Sus scrofa: one gene and its partners. The protein of the gene in region 3 purifies or fractionates together with the protein of the main gene of each other region. This does not show direct contact. Links are inferred from orthologs where the notes say so. Each region holds a gene or a part of one and is shown on either strand. Other genes may lie near its edges.

What was found.
Region 1: the proteins of MRGBP (region 3) and RUVBL2 purify together in Homo sapiens (co-immunoprecipitation; 5 studies listed by BioGRID and IntAct, counting the BioPlex papers as one, with this or other methods). This does not show direct contact. The link is inferred for Sus scrofa from reciprocal best matches to the Homo sapiens genes MRGBP and RUVBL2.
Region 2: the proteins of MRGBP (region 3) and EPC2 purify together in Homo sapiens (co-immunoprecipitation; 4 studies listed by BioGRID and IntAct, counting the BioPlex papers as one, with this or other methods). This does not show direct contact. The link is inferred for Sus scrofa from reciprocal best matches to the Homo sapiens genes MRGBP and EPC2.
Region 4: the proteins of MRGBP (region 3) and MBTD1 purify together in Homo sapiens (affinity purification with mass spectrometry; 4 studies listed by BioGRID and IntAct, counting the BioPlex papers as one, with this or other methods). This does not show direct contact. The link is inferred for Sus scrofa from reciprocal best matches to the Homo sapiens genes MRGBP and MBTD1.

The regions. Positions count from the first base shown.
Region 1 is NC_010448.4:54,260,459-54,264,018, reverse strand, and holds the end of RUVBL2 (ruvB-like 2), read right to left. Parts: intron 3,340-3,560; coding exon 3,245-3,339; intron 3,143-3,244; coding exon 3,024-3,142; intron 1,881-3,023; coding exon 1,761-1,880; intron 1,385-1,760; coding exon 1,255-1,384; intron 882-1,254; coding exon 767-881; intron 639-766; coding exon 613-638; 3' UTR 527-612; downstream 1-526. UniProt on the Homo sapiens protein: Possesses single-stranded DNA-stimulated ATPase and ATP-dependent DNA helicase (5' to 3') activity; hexamerization is thought to be critical for ATP hydrolysis and adjacent subunits in the ring-like structure contribute to the ATPase activity.
Region 2 is NC_010457.5:3,442,698-3,446,268, reverse strand, and holds part of EPC2 (enhancer of polycomb homolog 2), read left to right. Parts: intron 1-1,139; coding exon 1,140-1,288; intron 1,289-2,068; coding exon 2,069-2,201; intron 2,202-3,571. UniProt on the Homo sapiens protein: May play a role in transcription or DNA repair.
Region 3 is NC_010459.5:62,057,097-62,061,240, reverse strand, and holds the start of MRGBP (MRG/MORF4L-binding protein), read right to left. Parts: upstream 2,841-4,144; 5' UTR 2,776-2,840; coding exon 2,628-2,775; intron 2,188-2,627; coding exon 2,066-2,187; intron 1-2,065.
Region 4 is NC_010454.4:27,463,775-27,467,345, forward strand, and holds part of MBTD1 (MBT domain-containing protein 1), read right to left. Parts: coding exon 3,507-3,571; intron 1,826-3,506; coding exon 1,743-1,825; intron 1,375-1,742; coding exon 1,140-1,374; exon of another isoform or gene 648-1,139; coding exon 570-647; intron 1-569. UniProt on the Homo sapiens protein: Chromatin reader component of the NuA4 histone acetyltransferase complex, a multiprotein complex involved in transcriptional activation of select genes principally by acetylation of nucleosomal histones H4 and H2A.

The DNA.
Region 1 (3,560 bases), on a different chromosome or scaffold from region 3:
GGGGCCTGTGGGTGGGAGAACACAGAGGGTCCCCTGGACACCTGAGTCTGGGGTCTGTGGGGTACTGAGGGGGGACCTTGGGGGAGGGCTGGGCCCCAGGTAGACACCCAAGCCCCGCCCCCACCCCCTACAGGTGCGGGTGCTGCCGGCTGCCCTGCCACCCGTGCCCCAGCCGGTGTGCACCTACCGAGAGCTGAGCTTTGCCTCCATCCGCCTCCCTGGCTGCCCGCCTGGCGTGGACCCAACGGTCTCCTTCCCCGTGGCTCTCAGCTGTCACTGCGGGCCCTGCCGCCTCAGCAGCTCTGACTGTGGGGGTCCCAGAGCCCAACCCTTGGCCTGTGACCGCCCCCTACTCCCAGGCCTCCTCTTCCTCTAAGGACTCCCGGCCTCAGCCTCCCAGGCCCACAGATGCTCCCCCCCACCAATAAAGGCTGCTCCACCTGCACTCTGGGGTTGTCTATTCTGGGGGCTGGGGCGTGTGAGCACGTGCGTATGTACACACCTACACCCACACCCACACAGTGGGCCCAGTTTCGGAACCATTTTATACAAAGTCACGGTGTCAGAACTCTGGTAGAAAACAGGGGAGGTGGGGGAGAGGGTGACGTGGGCTCAGGAGGTGTCCATGGTCTCGCCTTCTGTGGGGAGAAGGAAGGCCAGGTGGTCGGTGTGGCCCAGAGGGCAGGGCCCGAGCTCTCCAGGCCGGGCTCCCCTCCCTCTGCGGGCCGGCGGGCGGGCGGCGGTGGGCGGCGGGGCCGATACTCACTGAGCTCGTTGAAGAGGAAGGCATCCTGGTACTCCTTCATGTACTGCGTGGATCGTGACTCGTCCAGAAAGAGCGAGTAGACCCGCTTGATGTCGTCCACCTGGACCTCCGTGCCCTGATGGGGGTGCCAGACCTCAGAGGGGGGGCCCCCCCGGGGCGGGAGCAACGACTCTGGGGCCAGGTCGCCTGGGGTCAAATCCCAGCAGGGCCACCGCCCGGCCACGGCCCCCACCTCTCCACCCCTGGTGTGCTCATCTGTAAAAGGGACTTCACGGCATCGGAGTGCAGCCAATAGCTATTCAGTCGGCGCCTCCCGGCGCCTCCCGGGCGTCCGGCCAGGAGACACAGCAACCAAGCGCAGAGACCGGAAGCTCCCTGCCTCTGAAACCCAAGTCCTAGGACGAAAGGCTGTGGCCCAGGGAAAGCCCTGGGACCAGCGGGCCCTCCACTCACTGCTCCAAGCCCCCAGGGCGCCCTCAGCCGCTGACCTTGCGCTTGCGGCACACCAGGCTGGCGGCTGTAATGAGCTGGATGGCGTAGCGCAGGGAGGTCTCCAGCCCGATGCGGGTCAGCACCGTGTAGGCGTCTTCGCTCATCTCCACATCCTCCTCCTCGCACCTATGGCGGGGGCGGCGGTCAGCCAGGGTGCAGACTCTGCCGCAGAGCCCTCCCCCAAGGGGCGCTGCTGCACCTCCTGGGGCCACGTGGAGTCTCACTCTCAGAGGCACAGGATGCTGAGTGCCAAGGGCCGCTGAGGCACCGGCTGAGCCTAAACCTGGGGTGGGCCTCCGGACCCTCCCACTCCTGGGCTCCCCCTCACCTCCCCCAGCTGTGTCACCAACACCCCCCCGCCTTTCTCCAACCCTCACAACCTCCTCAGAGGCCACTGCTTCGATGCCCAGCCCAGCAGGACTTCTGGCGGGCCCAGCCACCTCCCCTTCAGACCTCGGGGTCCCCATGGGCCAAAGAGGGTGGACACCAGCCCCACCCGCACCGGATGCGGAGGATCTGCTTTGTGTCTTTCTCGCTGTAGGGGGAGGTGGAGACGATGAGCAGTCGGTCCAGCAGATCGATGGGGATGCCATGGGGGCTCTGGTAGCTGGTGCCCCGGATCCTGGGCAGGAGGGGGAAGGGAGGGCGGTCAGGGTGGTGCTCTTAACAGCCCGGCTCCCCATTCCCCTTACCCGGACAGCCCTCCCCACCCCTTCCGCCATGGCCCACTCACTGGGTCAAATACCACTCGCTTGGCCTTCAGCTCCCGGCCGGCTGGCGTCACCGCCTGACAGCACAGCCGGCCCCTGACTGCATCCCTCCCCCTCTAGAGCTGGGCTGGATTTAGCTAGAGATCTATGTCTGGGATTAGCGGCTCAAGGTCCCGCTTCTCTGCTTGACACAGAGCTCCACTGGCACAGTCCTGTCCCCTGCTGCACATGGCAGGTGCCAGGAAACAGCAGATTCCTTTTTTTTTTTTTTTTGGCTACACCCGAATCATATGGAAGTTCCCCGGCCAGGGACTGAACTTGAGCTGCAGCTGCAGCAACTCTGGATCCTTAACCCACTGCACCAGACTGAGGATCAAAGCCACGCTGCTGCAGAGACAACACTGGATCCTGAACCCACTGCACCACAGCAGGAACTCTAGCAGATTCCATAGCAACACGGGCTCAGCTCAGAGCCCCATCTGCGACCTACACTGCAGCTAATGGCCTGAACCCACTGAGTGAGGCCAGGGATCAAACCCACATCCTCATGGATAGTAGTTGGGTTCTTAACTTGTTGAGCCACAAGGGGAACTCTGTCAGGAATTTTTCCTTAGCATCCTTGGGCCAAGGGGAATAAGTTTTGTTCTGTTTATTCCTAAGTAGTTGGATCTAAGTGACTTAATTGGAGTGGTTTACAGAGCACCCGACTCATGTCACGAGGTGTCCCTCAAACATTTGAAAACACCCACAGCACTCCTGTGTTCTCTGCAGCACCCCGCGTGCCTGCCTGGGCACACAGTTTGGAATCTGTAACCTTGAGGCCTCTGGGAACAAGAAAAGACAGAGCATGCTGGGTCCCAGAGCGCCTGTGCAGCTGGGCACCCACCAGCCCCGAGCGCTCGCCTGCTTTTGTTTGAGGGAAAGTACGCCAGCCGCCCGGGCCCCAGCGCCCGAGGGCAGCCCACTACAGCAGCGCAGCTCCCCAACGAGGTGCTCCGCAGCCCTGGCCTGTTTAACCCTGTGGCCTTCCTGCCACCCAGCACGCCCGTTCTCACCGGGTGATGCCGCGGTTGGTGGCCATGATGAGGACAGGTGCCATGTCACTCTCCAGGGCCCGGTTGAGGAAGGAGAAGCTCTCGATGTCCAGCATGTGGACCTCGTCGATAAACAGCACCTGGGGGCCATCGGGGGGGGGACATGAAATCCACCTCCCGCGCCCCCTCTTCTCCTGCGAACCCCCGCGGGCCGCCTGCCGTGGCCTCGGCCAGGTACTCACGCCAGGGATGATCTCCGCCTTGCCCTCCTCCCGCCACTCAGCCACCTTGGCGTTGATCTGCTCTCGGACTTCTGACTTGATCTCCCCCGTGTCACCTGCCGGTTGTGGGGGGTGTCAGAGAGGAGACAGGGATCCAGGGCCGGAGGCGGGACGATGACCCAGAGAGATGGGAGGCCGGGCACAGAGGGAAGAGAGACCCAGACTGGAGTGGCTACGCGACATGAGGGCCGGGGAGTCGGAGGGGCCCCAGAGAGGAAGAACAGAGGCAGAGGGGGTACAGGGGCGCCCCCGTCAGACCACCTGAGAGAAGGACTCA
Region 2 (3,571 bases), on a different chromosome or scaffold from region 3:
TATTGTTTCCTGTTTACAAGAAATTTTTTGCTTAGAACCATGCTTTAGATTTTGCCTTTAGTGCTGAAGGGGAAAAAAGATTGACTTCCATTGGATGAGATAAAAGGATGACATGGTAACACAGCATTTTTTAATATTCATCATGCAGTACCTTAATGGGACGTAGTTTAGGTGGTGATTAATTTTAAAGAAGCTATATATGAAAGAAAAAAGTAAAACATTGAATCTTTCTCAGGTTTTATTTTTTTGTTTTATAATCCTCCAATGTGAAGCTTGGCTTTGTCTGTGTTCTTTGTAATATAATAGTGCATTATTAAGTCAAGGATGGAAAGCTTGCTTAAGTGCGGTCTGTCTGAACACACACATATATATATAGGATAAGAGGTGGTAGTGCTCTATTTTTAAACAGTTCCATGCCTATTATGAAGTTAATATTCTGTGGCTGTTTGATTGAATGAATATTTTAAATTAGTGATTAACTTAATTTTCTTTTATATGCAAATAGATGCTACTAATTACAACTGAGCCTTCTCTAGCTAATAACTAGGACTTTTCACCTGTGAGTTAGTTCAGGTTATCTCTTATATGTCAAAGAACTTACAGTGAAATTCAGATTTTTCACTAGATCTCTTTTCTGTTCTGTGGTAAGGTGTCACTGCATTGAAGCATGATAATCCTATTCCTTGAGATCCTTTATATCCTACATTCAGTTTTATATCTATTCTACATGAAGTGATGGATAGAGGTTCATTTTGGCTATTTTTCGATAACCTTGATTTGACGGAACTGTTTTGCTTTGTCTTTGGAAAATAACACAATATGAAAAGATTACATTTTCTGATACAGTAGGTTTTGTTTCAGACAGACTTTGAAAAATTTGTTTACATTGGAATTATCCTTTCTATGTCATTCTGTCTTTTCAACAGCTGGCAATATTTTTTTCTGAAGATTTATTGAGATGTTTGATTATACTTTTATTTTCAGAGTTAAATAGGTTCTCTTAATGTAGTTGCTGTTTAGATTTTTTTTTTTAACATTTTGCTTTTATAGAATGAATTTGGGTCTTTCAGTTTTGTTGCATGAAGCTGAAGGGTGGACAGTTGAATTGTTTATTCTTCTAAACTTGTTGTTTTCAATAGAATCGTAAGAATGATGAAGCCTCTTATGAAAAGATGTTGAAACTGAGACGGGAGTTTAGTAGAGCCATAACAATTTTGGAGATGATTAAAAGAAGAGAGAAAACAAAACGAGAATTATTGCACTTAACCTTAGAAGTTGTGGAAAAAAGGTAAACATTGCTGCTATTACATACCAGTAATAGCTTTAGTAAAAATGATGGGCAAAATATAAATCAAATATTTTTGGTTATCAATTTGGGTTGCAAATTTGAGGAATGTATTAGATCTTCTTTTACACTTAATTTTTTGTTCTTGTTGAGAAACCATTGAATTGTATTTAGAAAAGGACTTAGGGATCATTTAGTCCAATCCTCTGTATTAGATTTCTATTAAATAGCATTTGAGGGAAATGAACGTTTAATTGATTTTATTTTCTGATTAGTTAGAAAATATTTGTTTCAGTGCATTTTGATGCATTGAATTCAATGAATTCTCTGATGTAATGATCCTTTTCCTACGTAATTAAATAGACTGTGCTAAACCTAACAAAATTTTGTGTTTCCTAAGGTAAGCCTTCCAAACATCATTCCCCAGTGCTTGAAAATGTAAAATATATGAGAAATCCATCTTCTGTGTACTGTAGAGATTGATGGGGAGGGGTGTGTGGCTTGTTTTATATTTATAAATCCCAAAATATGAGCTTCTTTATTCCTATTAGTTTTCTTTCTGAAGAATAATTTGATTAATGTTGGCTCTATTGGATTAGTTGTGTCATTGAGGAGTTCTTTGGTGGCTCAGCAGGTTAAGGGAACTTTCATATGCTTCGGGTGTGGCCAAAAAAATTTTTCCTTAAGTATAAAATGAAAATGAATAAATAAATAAATATTGGCTTTTCTTTCTCTTTCATTTTCGAAATGTAACGTTTTCTTACATATTATTTCCTTTTCAAGATATCATTTGGGAGACTATGGTGGTGAAATCCTTAATGAAGTGAAGATCAGTAGATCAGAAAAAGAGTTATATGCCACTCCAGCTACTCTTCATAATGGAAATCATCACAAAGTCCAAGAATGTAAAACTAAGGTAAATATTTTCTGAGGGGAAGCATGTATGATAATTTGATCAGGCAGTTGGTTTCTGCAGTTGGCTTATAATAGTTTGGTTAAAGAAGAAATTATTAACATGTATTGAGTTTTTACTTTTTGTCTGGCACTTTGCTAGGATTTGTTATATAACTTGTTGATTTATGAATCCTTATAACAATCCTTTGAGATAGATTTTACCTCTTCATGACTTCCAGATCATATAGCATAAGTGGTAGATTCAAGGTTTGAGTCCAGGTCTAACACCAAAAACCATATGCATTCAGCTGTGCTATCTGCTTCCCTAGAGAATAAGGGTAATTAAAGCTTAGTTACTGTTACTAGTCTTAGCAAGTCCTGCATCATAATGGCAGGTATCAAAATCTAAAATTAAAGCTTTTTTCATTGAGACTGTTGAAAGTTATTTTTATTGTCATCACCATTGCCAGAACCAGCATTTGTCAGTTGCTGTCTATCCTGAGAAAGTCCTATGACGTCTAGATCATGATTTCTTCCTTATAATAAAGAGTCAAATTAGTGATTACTTTAGGTTTTTTTTTTGACTAAAGAATTATATCTATTCATTATTCACTTGGTATATTAAGGTATTCAATTGAAATATACAAAAAGTAATAAAACTTTTAAGAAGCTTTGACTTTAAAAAAAGAAACAGGTATTGACTGAGCATTTAGACAGAGCTCTACTGTGTAGCAAGGTTTAAAAAGTGACTTAGGGTGTTTGTGGAAAATTCATCTTTTAAAAATGTGTACAATCCTCATTTTTCATGGTTCATTCCTAAAGGTCAAGGAAGAATGTGGAGCAGGAAGACTCCTCCATTATTCAACTCATGTCAATTCAAACACCAAAGTTCTTTCTTATTAATCACAGGCATCTAGCCCACCTATCCAGTTCCCTTTAAATCACCCTTGTCTCTGTAGCCATAAACAACACAATAAGTGTCATTTATTTTTTAAAATTCTTTTTTTTTTTTGTCTTTTTACTTTTTCTAGGGCTGCTCCCATGGCTTATGGAGGTTCCCAGGCTAGGGGTCGAATCAGAGCTGTAGCCACCGACCTATGCCAGAGCCACAACAATGTGGTATCCAAGCTGCATCTGCGACCTACACCACAGCTCACAGCAACACCGGATCCTTAACCCACTGAGCAAGGCCAGGGATCCAACCCGCCACCTCATGGTTCCTAGTCGGATACATTAACCACTGCCGCCACGACAGGAACTCCCTAAAAATCCTTTTTATATAAATGCTCTTCCTAGGTATATTGTTGGTAGGCACAGAATATGAAAATCTCAACCCCAGACTACTGACAGAATCAATCTTTATTATATATTGATTTTATTTTGGATCATAAT
Region 3 (4,144 bases):
ACAAAGAAGAAAATGTGATTTCTATGGCTGTATCTGTGGCGCACACAAGCTCCTGAGCCAGGGATCAAACCCGAGCCAAAGCAGCAACCCGAGCCGCTGCAGTGACAACACCCGATCCCCAACCCACTGAGCTACCAGGGAGCTCTTAAACGTGACTTTTAAATTCAGGAGCAAACAACAAACACAGGTAACGGTCTCGAGGCTGCAGTGGGCAGGTGGAGGGGGCCGAGGCCGTTTCTTTCTCTTCTACGGTTTACGAGGGGCTGGGCTTGTCACACGGAGCCAGACAAGGCAAAACCACAGCATGAGCCACCAGCATCAGTCACGAGAGGGAAGACTCTGGGTTGACTGTCACCTGAGATGGGGCCAGGGTGCCCAGTCTGCTGGCACACCTGCAGGGCCAGAATCAGGCTGCAGCTGTCCCGCAGGCCTGGCCCGGCTGTGCAGGCTCCGGGAGCACGCGATCCGAGGGCCGTGACAACCCTGCAGAAAGGCCATGGGGCTCCCGTCTCACCCATGTGGGCGGGCCACCGGGGTGGGAAGCAGGTGAGTGCAGGGGAGCAGGCACCGCCGATGCTCAGCGTGTTCCACCTGGCTGGCAGCTCGCACCTGCCGGACCGGACAGAGACGGTGGAGACGCAGCCCATGGGACGAAGGGAGAGCTTAGCTGGCAGGAGGGACTCAGGGTTGGGGGCGATCAGGAGACACTCGGGAGCCGTGCTCATCACCAGGCGGTCAGCGTGTAAACGTGCTGATCGGCATCGAGGAGCTTCAAAACCCGAGGGTTCCTGCGCCCACGGCACCTTGCGGGTGGGGTTCAAGGCCCCAGGTGACCGTGACGTCAGCCCCACAGCCATGCTAGGGTGCGAGGAAAAGAGAGAAGGGCCACTGTCCCGGGCTGAAAGCCCTGGGTGCCCCCGCTGCAGTTCCCTGAGTGTCACGTGGGCCCTGTGCTGGGGTCACAGCCATGGGATCCTCTGGGCCAGCAGCGTGCCTAAGAACCATCTGCCTCCCCCAGGTCGGGGACCCTGCCACTCTGATCTCTGGGTCCAGCCAGCAGTCAGGGCTCAGGACGTGCCTGGGGGCCAGGTGACCTCACAGTGTGACAGGTATGCGAGCCCAGTCAAGCTGTGGAACCCGGGAACTCACGGAGGGCAAGGCCCTGACCAGCAGGCATGGCCCTTTGGGTGGGCCTGGTGTAGTTTAGCGGCCAGTTCTCGAGTTTCTAGAATGCCTACTGCAGGCCAGGCGCTGGTCCCAGGACACAGTGGTCACCTTTCTCTCCTCCCTACACCAGGACGAGATGTGAGTGCCACGCCCAAGGCCAAAGGGAGGGAATGGCAGTGAGGTTTCTGGACCCAGACGGCTGGGGGTCTGCTGCCCCCTTTGCCCACACGCACCAATTCTCGCCTGGGGGCGTGAGGGGAGATGGAGCCTTCCCTAACCCAGCACAGGCTCCCACCTCACCGGGCACCTGCCACCCGGCTCCCACCCACTCTCCAGACACCCTGGCCTCCTCTGCGTCCTCTGATGCACCAACGCCTGCTGCCACAGAGCCTTGACACCTGCCGCTCCTCTGCTGGGAACGCCACTGGTCTCTTTGGCCACCCTGTTCCCCTAGTTCATCTGCCCCGCTAACGACATGGCTCAGGGGGGGTTCCGTGAGGCCCGGGTCCCTGCCTGCCTGGTTCTACCAGCAGTCACCAGTGTCACCTTAACCTGACTCAGACCCTGCCACCTCCCTGCCTACAGCACTCTGGGACTTTCTGTAAGACTGACAATGGCCTCAGAGCCCCTCCCACAGGCCTCAGCTCCTCAGTCGTCTCCTGGCCAGGTCCTAACTGACCCCTCAATTGCAAGTAGGTGCCATGTGATAACCAGCTACCGTCACTAGGTTTGTGTTTTCTGTAAAACTGCTCGGAGCTACCTTGTTGAACAACTGGTCCCCTGCGGGGCAGCCCAGACGTCAAGTTCCCTGAGGACAGGGCCTGGTGTAGACGCAGGGAGGCGCACGGAGGGGGCTCTCGGCCACCACCTGTCTGGGGGAGGGTGGGGGCCAGCTCACCAGTGCCTGCATGTCGTACATGGTGCTCAGGTGGTCCCAGATGACCTTGGAGGGCACTTGCCGGCCGATGTTCTGGCTGAACTTGTCCCGGATACAGATCATGTGGAAGTGCCGGTTCACACCTGCAGGGGGAAAGGGTCAGCCCGTGGGGGCAGACAGGTAGTTTGGAGAACAGACGTGGGGGTCAAGGGGAAGAGAGGGGAGAAGGCGCAGGGGGAGACGGGGGCAGTGCTTGGAGGGCGCGGGGGTAGAATGGGGTTGGTGGCAGGTACAAGGGGGGAGAGGAAGAGGTAGGGGTCAGTGGGGGAGGAGCAAAGGGGGCAGGGGTGCAGGTGAAGGCAGGGGTCGGCCGGCGTGGGGGGGTGGGGGCGGGAGGGGGCAAAGTCGAGCGGGGGAGGGGACTGCAAGGAGCAGGCCGGGGAGGGGCGAGCAGGTGGGGGCAGGGTGTGCAGGGGTGCAGGCGCAGGAGGCCCCGCCCCGCCCGCCCCGCGCGCGCCCCCGGCCGTTGCCGGCCGCCCCGCCCCCACGCGGGTGCGCGGCCTCGGCGCGGCGCTCCGCTCACCGACGGGCTTGTGGCCCAGCATGGCGTGGAAGAGGCACACCTCCACCTCGGGGCTCCACACGACCGTCTCCTCGGCCGGGCTGGTGGCTGCCTCCCCGGGCCCCTTGTCGCCCGCCGCGCCACCGCCGCCCACCTCGGCCTCCCCCATGGCCCGGCCGCCCAGCGACGAGCCCCCGGCGGGAGCGGGCGCGGCCACGGGCTCCGCGCAGGCGCACTCGCGGGGCGGGCGCGCGCTCGGCGGGCTCGCTCTGGGGTTCGCGCGCGGAGTCGGCGCAGGCGCAGCTGAGGGCGGGGTCGCGGCGCCCCCTGGCGGCCAGGTCTCTCAGCGCAGCGCCGTCGGAGCCTGAGGAGGATGAGAGGGACTGAGGATGTAAACGCCCTAAATTAAGTTGTGGCGATGGCTGCACAGCTCTGGGTAAACCCCGCAGAACTGTGCGCTTTAAATGGAGGAATTGCAAGTTACACCTCAGTAAAGCTGCTAGGAAGAAAAAGAACAGGCAACTGACAATGCCCGCGAGTGTGGCTCCAAGGGCTTCAAAAGCCCCTGGCTGACCTCTGGCCTGAGTGTGGAACAGAGCGGCCCCCGCGCGCCGGGGCAGAGGCGTCTGGGCCCCGCGCCTTGACCGCGGGCCTCAGCCTAAAGGGCAGGAGGGCCCAGGCCGGAGGGGGCGGGGTTAACCCCCACGGAGGGGCGGGGCCTGGGCGGAGTCTGGCCTGGCAGTCCTGTGACGAACTCAAAGAAGCACCCAATGGAGGCCGCCGGCTCCGCCCCGGCCCGGCCCGGCCCCGCCCTCGCGGCTCCCCCCGCCCCTCTCCGCTAGGCCACGCCCACCGCGGTGCCAGGGCTCTTGCCCAACGCGCGAGCGCTCTTCACCTCCCGGGTGTAGACTCCCGCGTCGGGCTTCCGGGTCCTCTTCCGGCTCCGCGACCTGCTAGTTCTGTGAGCGCTGCAAGGTGCTGGACCTCTTCAGGCCTAAGCTTCCTCCTCCGTGCAGTGGGGTTACTGATGGGGCTTGGTTTCTGGGTGCCCCAGCACAGGCTCGGGCGTCTTAGCAGACATTTGGAGCCACAGCGGTGAGCGCTGCCCCTTGGCCGTGTGGGCTCTGGCCAGCCAGTCACCTCCCGGTGGACTCAGAGCCTGAGTCCCGGCTTCCCATGCTGGTGCCCACAAGGTGGGAAGACGCGGTCAGCAGAGCCGGCCGTCCTGTGAGCCATGTTATGGCTGGACGTTGTGATTCCATTATTATTATTATTTGCTTTTTTTTAGGGCTGCACCTGCGGCGTATGGAAGTTCCCAGGCTAGGGGTCGAATCAGAGCTGTAGCTGCCAGCCTACACCACAGCGGGTGTGAGCTGCATCTGCAACCTAGATACCACAGCTCATGGCAACGCCGGATCCTTAACCCACTGAGTGAGGCCAGGGATCAAACCCGCATCCTCATGGATCCTAGTTGGGTTCATTAACCGCTGAGCCACAAAGGGAACTCCCTAAGTTGGGATTCTTGCCAGGTGTGTCTC
Region 4 (3,571 bases), on a different chromosome or scaffold from region 3:
GGATACTAGTTGGGTTCTTAACCCACTGAGTCATCATGGGAAGTCCCAAGAAAAATTTTTTTTGGCCACACCGATGGCATGTAGAAGTTCCTGGGCCAGGGGCTGAACCTGCCGCACAGGAGCATTCTGAGAAAACTTTTCTTAGGTCTGATTTTGTTAGCTATCACCTTGAATTTCTCAAAAGCATCATTCTAGAAAGAGTTTTCATTTATAAGGATGGGTTTATTAATCTCCAAGTCTATTGTAAGCATCTGCTTTTAAAGTTGTAAAACTCTTAAAGATTTAAAAAAGATTAATTTTCAGAAGGTTTACATGTTACTTCAAGAATTGTCCACAGACTCTATTCTTTACCACATATTAAATATTATGGTAATAATTTCCCCTATCAAAGGTAAGTGTTTCTCATTACTGAAAAGGTTTGCCTTTTATAGCATACTGCACCTTTAAGCATAATACAGAATGCACAGTTATCTGCTCTCAAAAAGGGTATCGTTTCTGTGCAAGAATATTTAAGACCCCAACTGGTTAACAAGTTACAAAGTGTATATAAACACCACATGGTGACCCACTTTTCTTATGTCCTTTGTATTGCTGGGACTTAGCCTTTTTCTTCTGCTTTGATGAACCTGATTGGCTTTCTCTTGATGCTGAAAAATAAAAGGGAAAATTGGTACCAGACAACTCCTTACAAATCTAGATACAACTTAGTTCACCAAGAACATTACGCTTATAAAAGTATACAATGTTTTAAAAATAAGGGTACTTTTTCCTGCAAAACCATGAACTTCAATACCAGAGAGATTCCACTACTTATTCAATAAGTCCTTCAAATACACCAATAACATAAAATTTATTAGCCTGTAATTTTAAACTCATTAAAATAAGTACAGTTTAATTTGGTGAGTGCTCTTGATGTTGTGTTTCTATAGTCATTATGTAACTGACTACTGAGTTCACACTGCCATGGAACACATGGTCTGATTCTGTGATATTGTCGTTGAGTCTTAAGATCTTACCTGGCAACCAATCAGACTTAGGTATATTCTTGTCCTGTGAGCTCACAAGATGATTTATGTGAGATAGTCCTCCGAGAACTGCTGATTTTTACAAAAGGACACCTTTTCTGTATACCAACTTACACTGTGATGCTGGAGGCTGTAGCTGATATCCAGTTAATTGACACCACCCTACAGGATAGAGGTCAGGGGACTCACAGTCTACCCACTGATCATATTCTTCTTCCCATCCATCAAAATGTATCCTCAAGAGACGATGAATAATTCGAGTTACTGTGGCTACACATATTAATCGTGGCTCCATGAGATCTACTGCTTCTAATTTCATTCCTACACGAAATCCGTGATTGGGAACATCCTAACGTGGAGAAGCAAAACATTAACACTGGTGAAAAGAAGAATGTATAATCCGCCATTACTAAGGAAGAAAAAAAAAGAACACAACCAATTGACAATTTAGACCAAAAAATCTGAAATAATTCTTTAATTATTGAAACATATGAGGCTGAAGCATATTAAGCACTACTTAGGAAATGTATTCATTCCTATTTTATTCAGATTAAAAATAAAACAAAATCTGGAAACAACCTTAAAGTCCTATGTAAAGAAAATACTTAGCATTGTTTTACTATTATATGTTCATATTAATCTTAGGAATTCTAGCATAAGGCAAAGACATTCTGACCAACACTGATTTGCATTTGTGAGGCATCATTTAAAATTTACCTTATTAAACAGTTTTACTGGTGCTGCAATGGAGCCAGTTTCCCTGAGGTAGTCAAACCATTTAAAAGGAAGTTTTGTGTAACCTGAAAAACACAACTAGTTTAACTAGCAGTTCTTTTAAAATGAGCATATATTAAAATGCAGATGTAAAGTAATTTAGTATACACTACAATCACAGATTTTGTTATATGACAAGCTCTCTGTTATATGAATCGTGCTCTGATGCTGTAGAGTTTGATAGTTCCTCCTTGTTATATGGATTTTCCTCTTTTCTAGACAGAAACAAGTACCCACTTATTCTAATGCCAAAGTGACTCTCCCCTCCTCACTCTGTAAGAACTACAGACTTCTGCTTTTTCAATCCTAGGATTAGAAGAGCCTAACATTTAACACTTTTCAGTAATATTTTTCTTTCTTTGTAAGAAAGAAAACAGGCTGGGCAAATACTTTTTCTTTTTTTAATAGTCCACTCTTTTGGCTTTTCTCCATTTCTTAAAGAGAAAAAAACCTAAGGCTCAGATACTGAAATTAGGAAAGTCATTGGTTAAACCATAAGAGCTATTTAAGCATATACCTGCTTTTAAAAAGTCACATGGTAATCCAAAGATGAAAACTTGCTTTTCCTCAAAAGCTAAAGTTTTTTTTTTTTTTTTTAAGGGCCACACCCACAGCATATGGAGCTTCCCAGGCTAGGGGTTTAATCAGAGCTACAGCTGCTGGTCTACACCACAGCCACAGCAACTTGGGATCTGAGCCACGCCTGCGACCCACACCACAGCTCACAGCAACACCAGATCCTTAATCCACTAAGTGAGGCCAGGGATTGAACCTGAAACGTCATGGTTCCTAGTAAGACTTGTTTCTACTGTGCCACAACGGAACAGCCTAAAGTATCTATTTTTTTTTTAGGGGCCGCACCCACAGCATATAGAGGTTCGCAGGCTAGGGGTCTAATCAGAGCTGTAGCCACCAGTCTATGCCAGAGCCACAGCAACGCCAGATCCAAGCCACAACTGCGACCTACACAACAGCTCATGGCAATGCCAGATCCTTAACTCACCGATCGAGGCCAGGGATAGAACCTGCAACCTCATGGTTCCTAGTTGGATTTGTTTTCGCTGCGCCACAACAGGGACTCCTAAAGTATGTACTTTTTTTTTTTTTGTCTTTTGTCTTTTGTTGTTGTTGCTATCTCTTGGGCCGCTTCCGAGGCATATGGAGATTCCCAGGCTAGGGGTTGAATCGGAGCTGTAGCCACCGGCCTACGCCAGAGCCACAGCAACTCGGGATCCGAGCCGCGTCTGCAACCTACACCACAGCTCACGGCAACGCCGGATCGTTAACCCACTGAGCAAGGGCAGGGACCGAACCCGCGACCTCATGGTTCCTAGTCGGATTCGTTAACCACTGCGCCACGACGGGAACTCCCTAAAGTATGTATTTTTTAAAAAAAGTTTATGTGTACAACAGACTTTGGAGCCTAAATCACCATCTCAACAGGGCTTGAGAATATTATTTCATATTATAAAATGTATAGATGCTCAGAAAAAGATTCTATACCAATTATACCAATTATTAAAGCTAGTTAGGATACAGTTCGTTATGTTTTCAGAGCACCCAACAGATCTTGTGTGTGTTTATATATATATATACACATATACTCTTATTTTCATACAGCAGGAAATCTAGAGCTGTGGTAAATGTTAACAGGTACCATGTAAAAAGCAAGGATGAAAACTCAGTGTATATATTAGGAAGAAGTACCTCTGGGTGGAGTAAGTTCAATCATGTTAATTTCACAGAAACCAACAGGGAAAATAGAAGGGGAG